Linked DNA regions of Ovis aries. The protein of the gene in region 2 interacts with the protein of the main gene of each other region in a pairwise test. Links are inferred from orthologs where the notes say so. Each region holds a gene or a part of one and is shown on either strand. Other genes may lie near its edges.

Region 1 (5,156 bases), on a different chromosome or scaffold from region 2:
TCAGTTAACACACCCCCGACAGGAAGATGATCAACAGGGAAAAATCGTCAGTGATGGGCCAGGACCGGAAAGATGTACACTGCATGGCTCCTGGAGGAAGCCAACTCCCCTGGCAACTGAGCCAGCGAGAACCCATCATCACCCTGAATTCTTGCTTTCCTCCAACAGACATGTGTTCAAACAACCCCTCCTAACTTCCTCTTTTTTCTCTATAATGCAATATTCCTCTTCTTCCTTGGCTGGACTTGCCTATGGCTTTTTGCTATTGCCTGCTTGTCCTAAATTGAAATTCTTTACTGTTCCCAAACAAACCCATTTTGTTGGTAAAACAATCGTTGCTTTACTTTTGAGGTTAATAGAACCAATTGGTTTTATAAATCTAGATTTAGGGAAAAATTTGTTTTAAGGAATTGGCTGTGCCATTGAAGGGGCCAGTGAGTCCAAATTCTGCAGGGTAGGGTGGCCAGGATAGCTGGAAACAGAAAGAAGTATCTGCTTGTGGAATTGCCTCCTCCTCAGGGAGAGATCAGACCTTTTTCTTTTCATCCCTTCACCTGATTGGATGAGGCCCATCCACATTAGAGTGAATAATCTGCTTTCCCCAAAGTTTACAAATGGTGATCTCATCTTAAAAGTATATTGCAAAAAAAAAAAAAAAAATTCTAGAAGCATGTTTGACCAAATATCTGAGTACCTTGGTCATAGTCAAGTTGACATACGAAACTAGTCATCACAGGACTTTCCTGGTGGCCCAGTGGTTAAGAATCTGCCTGCCGATACAGAGGACAGAAGTTCAACCTCTGGTCACATGCCACAGAGGACAGAAGTTCAACCCACATGCCACAGAACAACTAAGCCCTGTGTGCCATGACTGCTGAGCCTGCATACCCTGGAGCCCGAACTCTGCAGCAAGAGAAGTCACGGTAATAAGAAGCCCGTGTACCCCGGCTGGAGAGTAGCCTCCACTCGCTGCACCTATAAAATGCCCGCTGACAGCAATGAAGACCCAGCGCAGCCAAAAACTACAGATAAGTAATCGCCATTTGAAAGATAATAATAACAAAATCAATCATCACAGCAGAGAAAGGGGGTCTGTTCCTGTCCCACCTTGGAGATGTTTGCCTTCTGCGTTACAGAGGGAGCCAGTGGGAGCTGCCCAGGAGTTTCGTTCTCATGGTCCTGGGCACAAGAGTTGGACTCCTGTCTCCTCCCTGGCCTGTGTGCTCCTGGGCATGTTTTCCTTCCTTGCTGGGGGTGGTTAAATGCTCGATGAAACCTGGCAGGTGTTCATGTGTGTGCTGAGGGACTGGGCACCCAGAAGCAGGCCTCTGGGGACCTGGGTTTGCTCAGGGGCAGAACTAAATTCCAAGTGGCTGAACCCTTGCCTTGCTGTGTGTCCCGAAACAAGTCAGGGCCCTCTCTGGTCTCTTCTCCTCACTGTTATCATCAACTCTGAATTCCCAAACCATTGGGAACAGGGGAAAGAGGAAGGAGCCTCAAAAGATGACCTCTGGGAAAATGATTTTTTACATTATATATATATATATGTAAATATAACTGAATCAGTTTGCTGAACTCCTGAAAACTAACACAATATTTTAAATCAGCTATACTTCAATTATTAAAAAAAAAAAAAACCACCTCTGGCCCCCTATGAAATTACTTGCTTTACAAACACTTTACAGCACTAGCCGTATACCAGGTCCTGTTCTAAGCACTTTGCAAGTATTTTAATCTTTGTATTAAGCCTGTGAGATAGGTACCACTGTTACCCCCATTTTACAGATGGGGAGATCAAGGTACAAAAAGGGCTGGCAGTGTGCTCAAAGACACAGACCTAACCCATATCAAGCCCTCATAATCCAGCTCAAGGGGCCATGTTTTTAACTACAAGCCTCCCTTGAGAGCAGCAGACAGGCTGGGGGCGAGGCCTGGGTTGGGCCAGAAGACTCTGAGTTTCCTTTTCCCCTGGTGTGAGTTTCGGTTTTCTCCCCTCTCCTCCCCCTGCACACAGAAGTTCCTTATTCTCCTCAGCCTCCCGCTCTGCCACTAGCTGTCATCTCAGCAGCCAGTCAGAGCCATGGGCAGCTGGGAGTCCCATCTCTATGAACAGCCTTCTGAGAAACTGGAGGAGTTTATCCAGAACTACCTGAGGCCCTCTGAAGACTGTCAGAAAGACATCGACCAGTCAGTGGACACCATCTGTGCAGTCCTGCAGGAACCCTGCCAGCCCCTCACCGTGACAGGGGTGGCCAAAGTGAGTAGATGGCTGGAGTCAGTGCTTCTGGGACCCAGGAGGCAGAAGGACGTGGTGCTGAGCACCTGCTGTGCTCTGGGCCCTGGGCGCGCAAGAATCACCTTGCCTAAGCCCATACTTGAGTGACATGATGGAACGGGGTGTAGAGTTTAGGGGTACAGGTTGGGAGAGCGCTGATTCTGCCCCTTACTGCTGTGTGACCCGGGGTAGGTTGCTTAACCTCTCTGTGCCTCAGTGTCCGAATGTGTAAAATGCGAGGGGAATAATAGTCAGTGCCAAGTGTTAAGAGGCTTAAACACAGAATGTTCTGGCAAGAACTTGGTACAAAGCCGCAGCAGTAAATTAGCTGTGGTTACTTATGTCATTTTTATCCTCCCCATTTTACAGATGAGTAAACTGGGCCTACAAGAGTTCAATAAAACTATTCAAGGATGTTCTGTGATTTCTCAACACTGAGGAGATGGGAAGCCTCATCAGTTAGACATGTTTGGTGCTCTGGCACAAACCCTAGGGTGGAGGCTGAAGATTCTAGAATTTTGAGAAAGAAATGATGCTGGGAAGCTGCCAGGACCCTAGGGTGGGGAGGGGATTATGTATGCCCGGCCCCACCCCCGTGCCCTTCAGCACCAGAATCGCACTTCTCCGCAGCCACGTGCTTTCTGGCCTCCGCCCTTACACACACCCACTAGCCCTAGGAGTAGACACCTGGACACATGGTGTCTCTACATGGTGTCTCCTGTCTTGGCCCAGATAAGGAAAATGAAGCGTGGGGAAGTTATCATTTGTTGGTATTCGACCTGGGATTTTAAGCTCAGGTAATCTATTTGGAAGGCCTTCCCTGGTGGCTCCATGGTAAAGAATCCACACTGAGGTGCAGGAGGCATGAGTTCGATCCCTGGGTCAGGAAGATCCCCTGGAGAAGGAAATGGCAGCCCACTCCAGTATTCTTGCCTGGGAAATCCCGTGGACAGAGGAGCCTGATGGGCAACAGTGGGTGGGGTTGCAGAATTGGATACGACTGAGCGACTAAAGGGGCTTCCCTAGTGACTAAACAATGGCGACAATTTGGGAGCGTGCACCCTTAACCACTGTGCAGTCCTACCTCTCAAATTTGTTAACTTTTTTCTCAGTAAAAAAAATATGTACAACAAGTGCACAGATCTGTGTACAGCTTGATGGATTGCCACAGACATACATGTGTGACCTATACCCAGATCAAGAAATAAAAGTTTCCCAGCCCCTACCCAAGAGTCCCTGGGTCCCTTGTCCAGTCATTACCCTCAACCCCAGCCAACCACTCTCCTGACTTCTAACAGCATAGATTAGTTTTGCCTGTTTTTAAACTTCGTATAGAGTGACCAACCTTCCGGGTTTGTCTGCGACTGAAGGGTTTTCTGGGACATGGACGTCTCGGGGCTAAAACTGAGCAGGTTGGTCTCCCTGTCTAAAAGGCATCGTGCGCTGCGCGGCTTTAACGTGTGGGCTTTGTTTTCGACGCATCGGTCGATGAAGCGCACGTCGTTGCGTGCAGCTGTTGTTTTCTCATTTTGTTGTTGCCGTGCATTCCGTTGTGTCTGCTCTCCTGCTGATGGTCATCCAAGTTGCCTTCTGTTTGGGGCTTGTGGGGGAAATGTTGCTGTGGGTGTCCTGATTCAGCTCTTTGGGTGGACAGATGAACACCAGACGTGTGGGACTTCTGCTCGAGTTGAGAAATACCTCTGCCTGTTGGGGTGCCCAGTGACCCCAGAGGGTTCAGACTTTCACATCTGCCTCTCTGTTGCTGATAGGGCGGCTCCTATGGCCGGAGAACGGTCTTGAGAGGCAACTCCGATGGTACCCTTGTCGTCTTCTTCCGGGACCTTGAGCAATTCCAGGACCAGGAAAAAAGACAATATGAACTCCTTGGCAAAATCTGGGCACAGATGAAGCACTGTGAGTCCACGCTGAATCTGGCAGCCAAGATGGAGCTCCAGAACACCAATAGGAGCTCCAGGGTCACTGTCCAGCTTTCCACAAAACAGCAGAGCATCACTTTCAACGTGCTGCCTGCCTTCAACCCTCTGGGTGAGCCCTCCTGGGTGTGCAGGGTGGTAGGCAGGGTTGGAGGTGTGGGTCTGGAAGGGCTTGTCAAGAGAACAAAGCCAATGAAAGGGGTGGTGGATAGCATGGGGATGGAATAAATACCACTGAAAGTGAAAAGAAAGTGAAAGTGCTAATCACTCAGTTGTGTCCGATTCTTTGTGACCCCATGGACTGTAACCTGCCAGGCTCCTCTATCCATGGAATTCTCCAGGCAAGAATACTGGAGTGGGTTGCCATTCTCTTCTCCAAGGGATCTTCCCCAGCCAGGGATCAAACCCTCGTCTCCTGCAGTGCAGGCGTGTTCTTTACTGTTCTTTACTGTTCTTTACTTTAAGCTGCCAGGGAAGACTTTCAAGAGAGAAGACCTCTCCTACCTTGAGCATACTCTGGTCTTTAGGACCTCTCCTTTAACTCCTAACTGATTTTGGAGGAAATGTTCTAGACTCTAGAACCTAGAGTTCCTCAAACTGTGATATGCACACAAATCCCCTGAGAAACTTATTAAAATGATGGCTCTGATTCAAGAGATTGGGGTCCAGAATTCTGTATTTTCAACCAGCTTCATGGTGGTTGCTGCCTTTCTGCGGACCACAGTGAAGATGTAAACTAGAATAAACTTTGGCCAGAGGTAGAGGATGGGGAAAACCTCTGAGAAAAGTTCAGCTAGAGCAGGTTTGCAGTTGCCCTCTAATCATCAAGGCAAGGATCTTCCATGGGCAACAGTTTGAATGGATCAATGGTTGGATGGAAGGATGGTTGACTGGATGGATGGATGGATGGATGGATGGATAGATGGTTGACTGGATGAATGGATGAG
Region 2 (3,334 bases):
TGGGACTGAGCAGTGTCTTTTGCCGGGTTGGCACCATGCCTTCTCCCAACAGCCAGAGCAAGGGGAGTCCGGTGAGTGAGTCTTGCTGGAAGGAACATCTGGGTTTCAGTCTAAGCTCCACTGCAACCAGCTCTCTGTTCTGAGGTGGCCTCCTTGCCCTGCATTTGTGAATTAGAGGCTTCACTGGGTTGTGGTGGGCATTAGACAAGATATAAACCCAAAACTGTTCAGGGTGCTCATGTAGTCAGAGATATCCGAAGGAGCACACAGACACGGAGCGTTCCCCTCCGCTAAGCACTGTGCTGAGCCCTGCAGACTCAGGAAGCTCGGCAGAGGGCACTTGTCCTGTGGAGTGGCCTGGTTATGCCATCTCTCTCTGAGAGCAGGGACTGTGCCCATAGTTTTCTCTTTGTGAATCTGCATCCTGTCTGTGACCCAGCATCCTGGGAGGGAGTGGGGACTGTCTTCACCTGAGGAAGCAGGTGGGCAGCCAGCCCCCAGCACAGACCCTGAGCCCCATCCGTCCTTCTCCAGCCTGTGCGTCTTGATGTCTGACTGGTTCAACTTCCACGGTCACATGTGCATCGCCTTTGAGCTCCTGGGCAAGAACACCTTTGAGTTCCTAAAGGAGAATAACTTCCAGCCTTACCCTCTACCACATGTCCGGCACATGGCCTACCAGCTCTGCCACGCCCTTAGATGTAAGTTCCCACCTCAAGTGGAGCAGGGGGAGCCTCCTGTCTGCAGCAGAGGCACCTGGTGGCCCTGCCCTCCCATCAGGTGCTCCAACACATTGCTGACTGTTCTGCTGGGCCCGAGACACTAGGGCCCCTTTGGTTGAAAGGCCTCCAAGTAGGAATCTGTGACGACGGAGAGGCTGCAGTCCCCTCCAGGGGCCTGCGGAGCTGGCCTCTGACCCCAGGCTCTCCGGAAGAGAAGGGAGAGAGCTGCTCTAGGATTAGCCCCGTACCATCCCCATGCCTACCTTCCTGCATAAGATGAAGAGGTCGCAGACTGACCTGGTAGATCCCACCCACAGATCCTGTCACACAGACACCATGTCTCACCATCATTTCCCGTCTGTCCGCCAGTCTCTTAAGGTGGTACCTGTGCTCAGTGCTGCAGGATTTGTAGTGGTTGAAACAGGTTGGAAAGGCTCACTGGAGAGAAGGTGGCTAGACCTAGAGCTAGACTAGCAGGGTCTGCATAGATGGCGGGACTGGGGAGAGCGTTCCAAGCCAGGTGAGCCACCCAGCGCTGGCACAGAGCCTGGCATGTGCTGCAGCTCACTGTGGTGAAGAGAGGGCCCATGTAAAGAGAGACGGGCTACACTGTCGGGGGGGTCGAGTGCCAGATGGAAAAAGTGATGAATGGCAGGGTACAACCATCGGTGGGACAGGGTTGGAGGGAAAAGGCAGACGTCCCCCTGCTCGGGGATGAGGGGAGAAAGGCAGGACTGGCTTCATTGTTTCATAGGGAGCCCTGTGCTTGGTTTAATGCTCTCCTACTACTATCTTTAGATTCTAAGTAACTTTTGAATAAGGAGACCTACATTTTCATTTTGCCTTGGGCCTTGCAAATTATGTAGCAGGTGCTTGGGAGAGGGAACCACCCCAAGACTGATCCTGCAGCTTTGGTGAGAGACCTGGTCCCCTGCAGACAGATGGAAGGAGGTTTTCTAAATGGAAGGCATCTCCCCTGCCCCCTCAAGAATTAGAACCCTCTGAGTTCATAAGTACAGAGAACCCTTGAGAGGGAAGCCCTGGCAGAGGCAGTGTGCCACTGCTGGGGTTAGGGGCTGAGGGCTCCAGCAGGCTGGCTCTGGAGGAGGGAGCTGGCCTAGCGCTGGCAGGCGGGCCAGAGAGGAAGCCCAGGTTTTCAGTGTCTGCTTCCCTCCTCTCCTGCTCCCCCAGTTCTACATGAGAACCAACTGACCCACACAGACTTGAAGCCAGAGAACATCCTATTTGTGAATTCTGAGTTTGAAACCCTCTACAATGAGCACAAGGTATTTATTGGTGGGGTAAAGATTGAGGCCCTGTTCTAGGAGTCGGTTACCTACCAGTGCAGACTTCTGACCTGGCTCCCCTTCCCTGCCCTTCAGAGCTGTGAGGAGAAGTCAGTGAAGAACACCAGCATCCGAGTGGCTGACTTCGGCAGTGCTACCTTTGACCATGAGCATCACACGACCATCGTGGCCACCCGTCACTATCGTCCACCTGAGGTGATCCTTGGTGAGTGACTGCAGCTCCGAGCCCAATAGAGCAGGCACTGTTTGGCAAGCTATGAAAACAGGGAGTGTGGTGCTTGTCCACACCTGGAGCCATGGCTTGAGTCTCTGTGGTTGTTGACTTGGTCTTAAGAAAGGGACTTCTACTGGGTTTGGGCCAGGAGTCTTGCCAGACAGCGTGGTAGCTGCCCTGTGACCTCTAGGCTGGGAGCACAGAGCTGAGTCTCATAGCCCACCCCATCTTGGCTTTCAGAGCTGGGCTGGGCACAGCCCTGCGATGTCTGGAGCATCGGCTGCATTCTCTTTGAGTACTACCGGGGCTTCACACTCTTCCAGGTAAGGCCTCTCCCTCATCACCCCTCAACCCTAAGCTGCAGAGGCCTGGTGTGGGAGGGACCCCCACCCACCCATCAGCATGCTGTGAGATTAGACTCCTGAGGGTTGTAGGTGCTTGGGAAGGAAGAGGTCAGTCAGGGTAGCTGGAACACTCAGGGACTCCTGCAGTCAGTCATCAGGGACGGAGAACTGGGGTGGGAGGAGTGTTCCAGGCAAGGGGCACAGCGTGAGTGAGGGCATGGAGGTGGGCCGGGGCAGGGCACTTTCTGGGGAGAGGGAGGAACTAGCCAGAATGAGTCCTCATGCAGCACACTGGAAGGGTCGAGAAGTCACCCTGAGGGAAGAGGCTGGCTTCCTCCCTGGTCCCAGGCTGCCACCACATCAGAAGGGCTGCGGCTGCTATCCCATTGGTGGGTTTGCACCTCCTGGGGCAGGGAGAAACCTTGACTGTCTTTCTTATCCCTTATTCTCCGAGGGACCTTGAGGGGGTGGAGGCTGTCATGATTCCCACTTGCTGTGTCCCTCACCCTTCCACAGACCCACGAGAACCGAGAGCATCTGGTGATGATGGAGAAGATCCTAGGGCCCATCCCATCACACATGATCCACCGGACAAGGTAAGGATGTGTCTCGGAGTGACCTGGCTGAGCTGTTGCCCAGACCTTCCTGCTGGGTCAGGCCAGGGTCCCCTGCCTTGCTTCGCTGCTCTTCTCTGCGCTGCTGCTCTTTCTGGCTTTAAGACTCCACCCTTCCTGTCTTTTGTTTTCA

Evidence for each region. The genes of interacting proteins can lie anywhere in the genome.
Region 1: the proteins of CLK3 (region 2) and 2'-5'-oligoadenylate synthase 2 interact in binary tests that used the Homo sapiens proteins (3 or more experiments, as listed by UniProt). The two-hybrid records come from large-scale screens. The link is inferred for Ovis aries from reciprocal best matches to the Homo sapiens genes CLK3 and OAS2.

Annotation. Positions count from the first base shown.
Region 1 is NC_056070.1:61,444,703-61,449,858, reverse strand, and holds the start of 2'-5'-oligoadenylate synthase 2, read left to right. Parts: upstream 1-2,048; 5' UTR 2,049-2,080; coding exon 2,081-2,257; intron 2,258-3,610; exon of another isoform or gene 3,611-3,687; intron 3,688-4,044; coding exon 4,045-4,321; intron 4,322-5,156.
Region 2 is NC_056071.1:31,713,806-31,717,139, reverse strand, and holds part of CLK3 (dual specificity protein kinase CLK3), read left to right. Parts: intron 1-534; coding exon 535-701; intron 702-1,913; coding exon 1,914-2,008; intron 2,009-2,104; coding exon 2,105-2,234; intron 2,235-2,483; coding exon 2,484-2,566; intron 2,567-3,103; coding exon 3,104-3,183; intron 3,184-3,334. UniProt on the Homo sapiens protein: Dual specificity kinase acting on both serine/threonine and tyrosine-containing substrates. Phosphorylates serine- and arginine-rich (SR) proteins of the spliceosomal complex.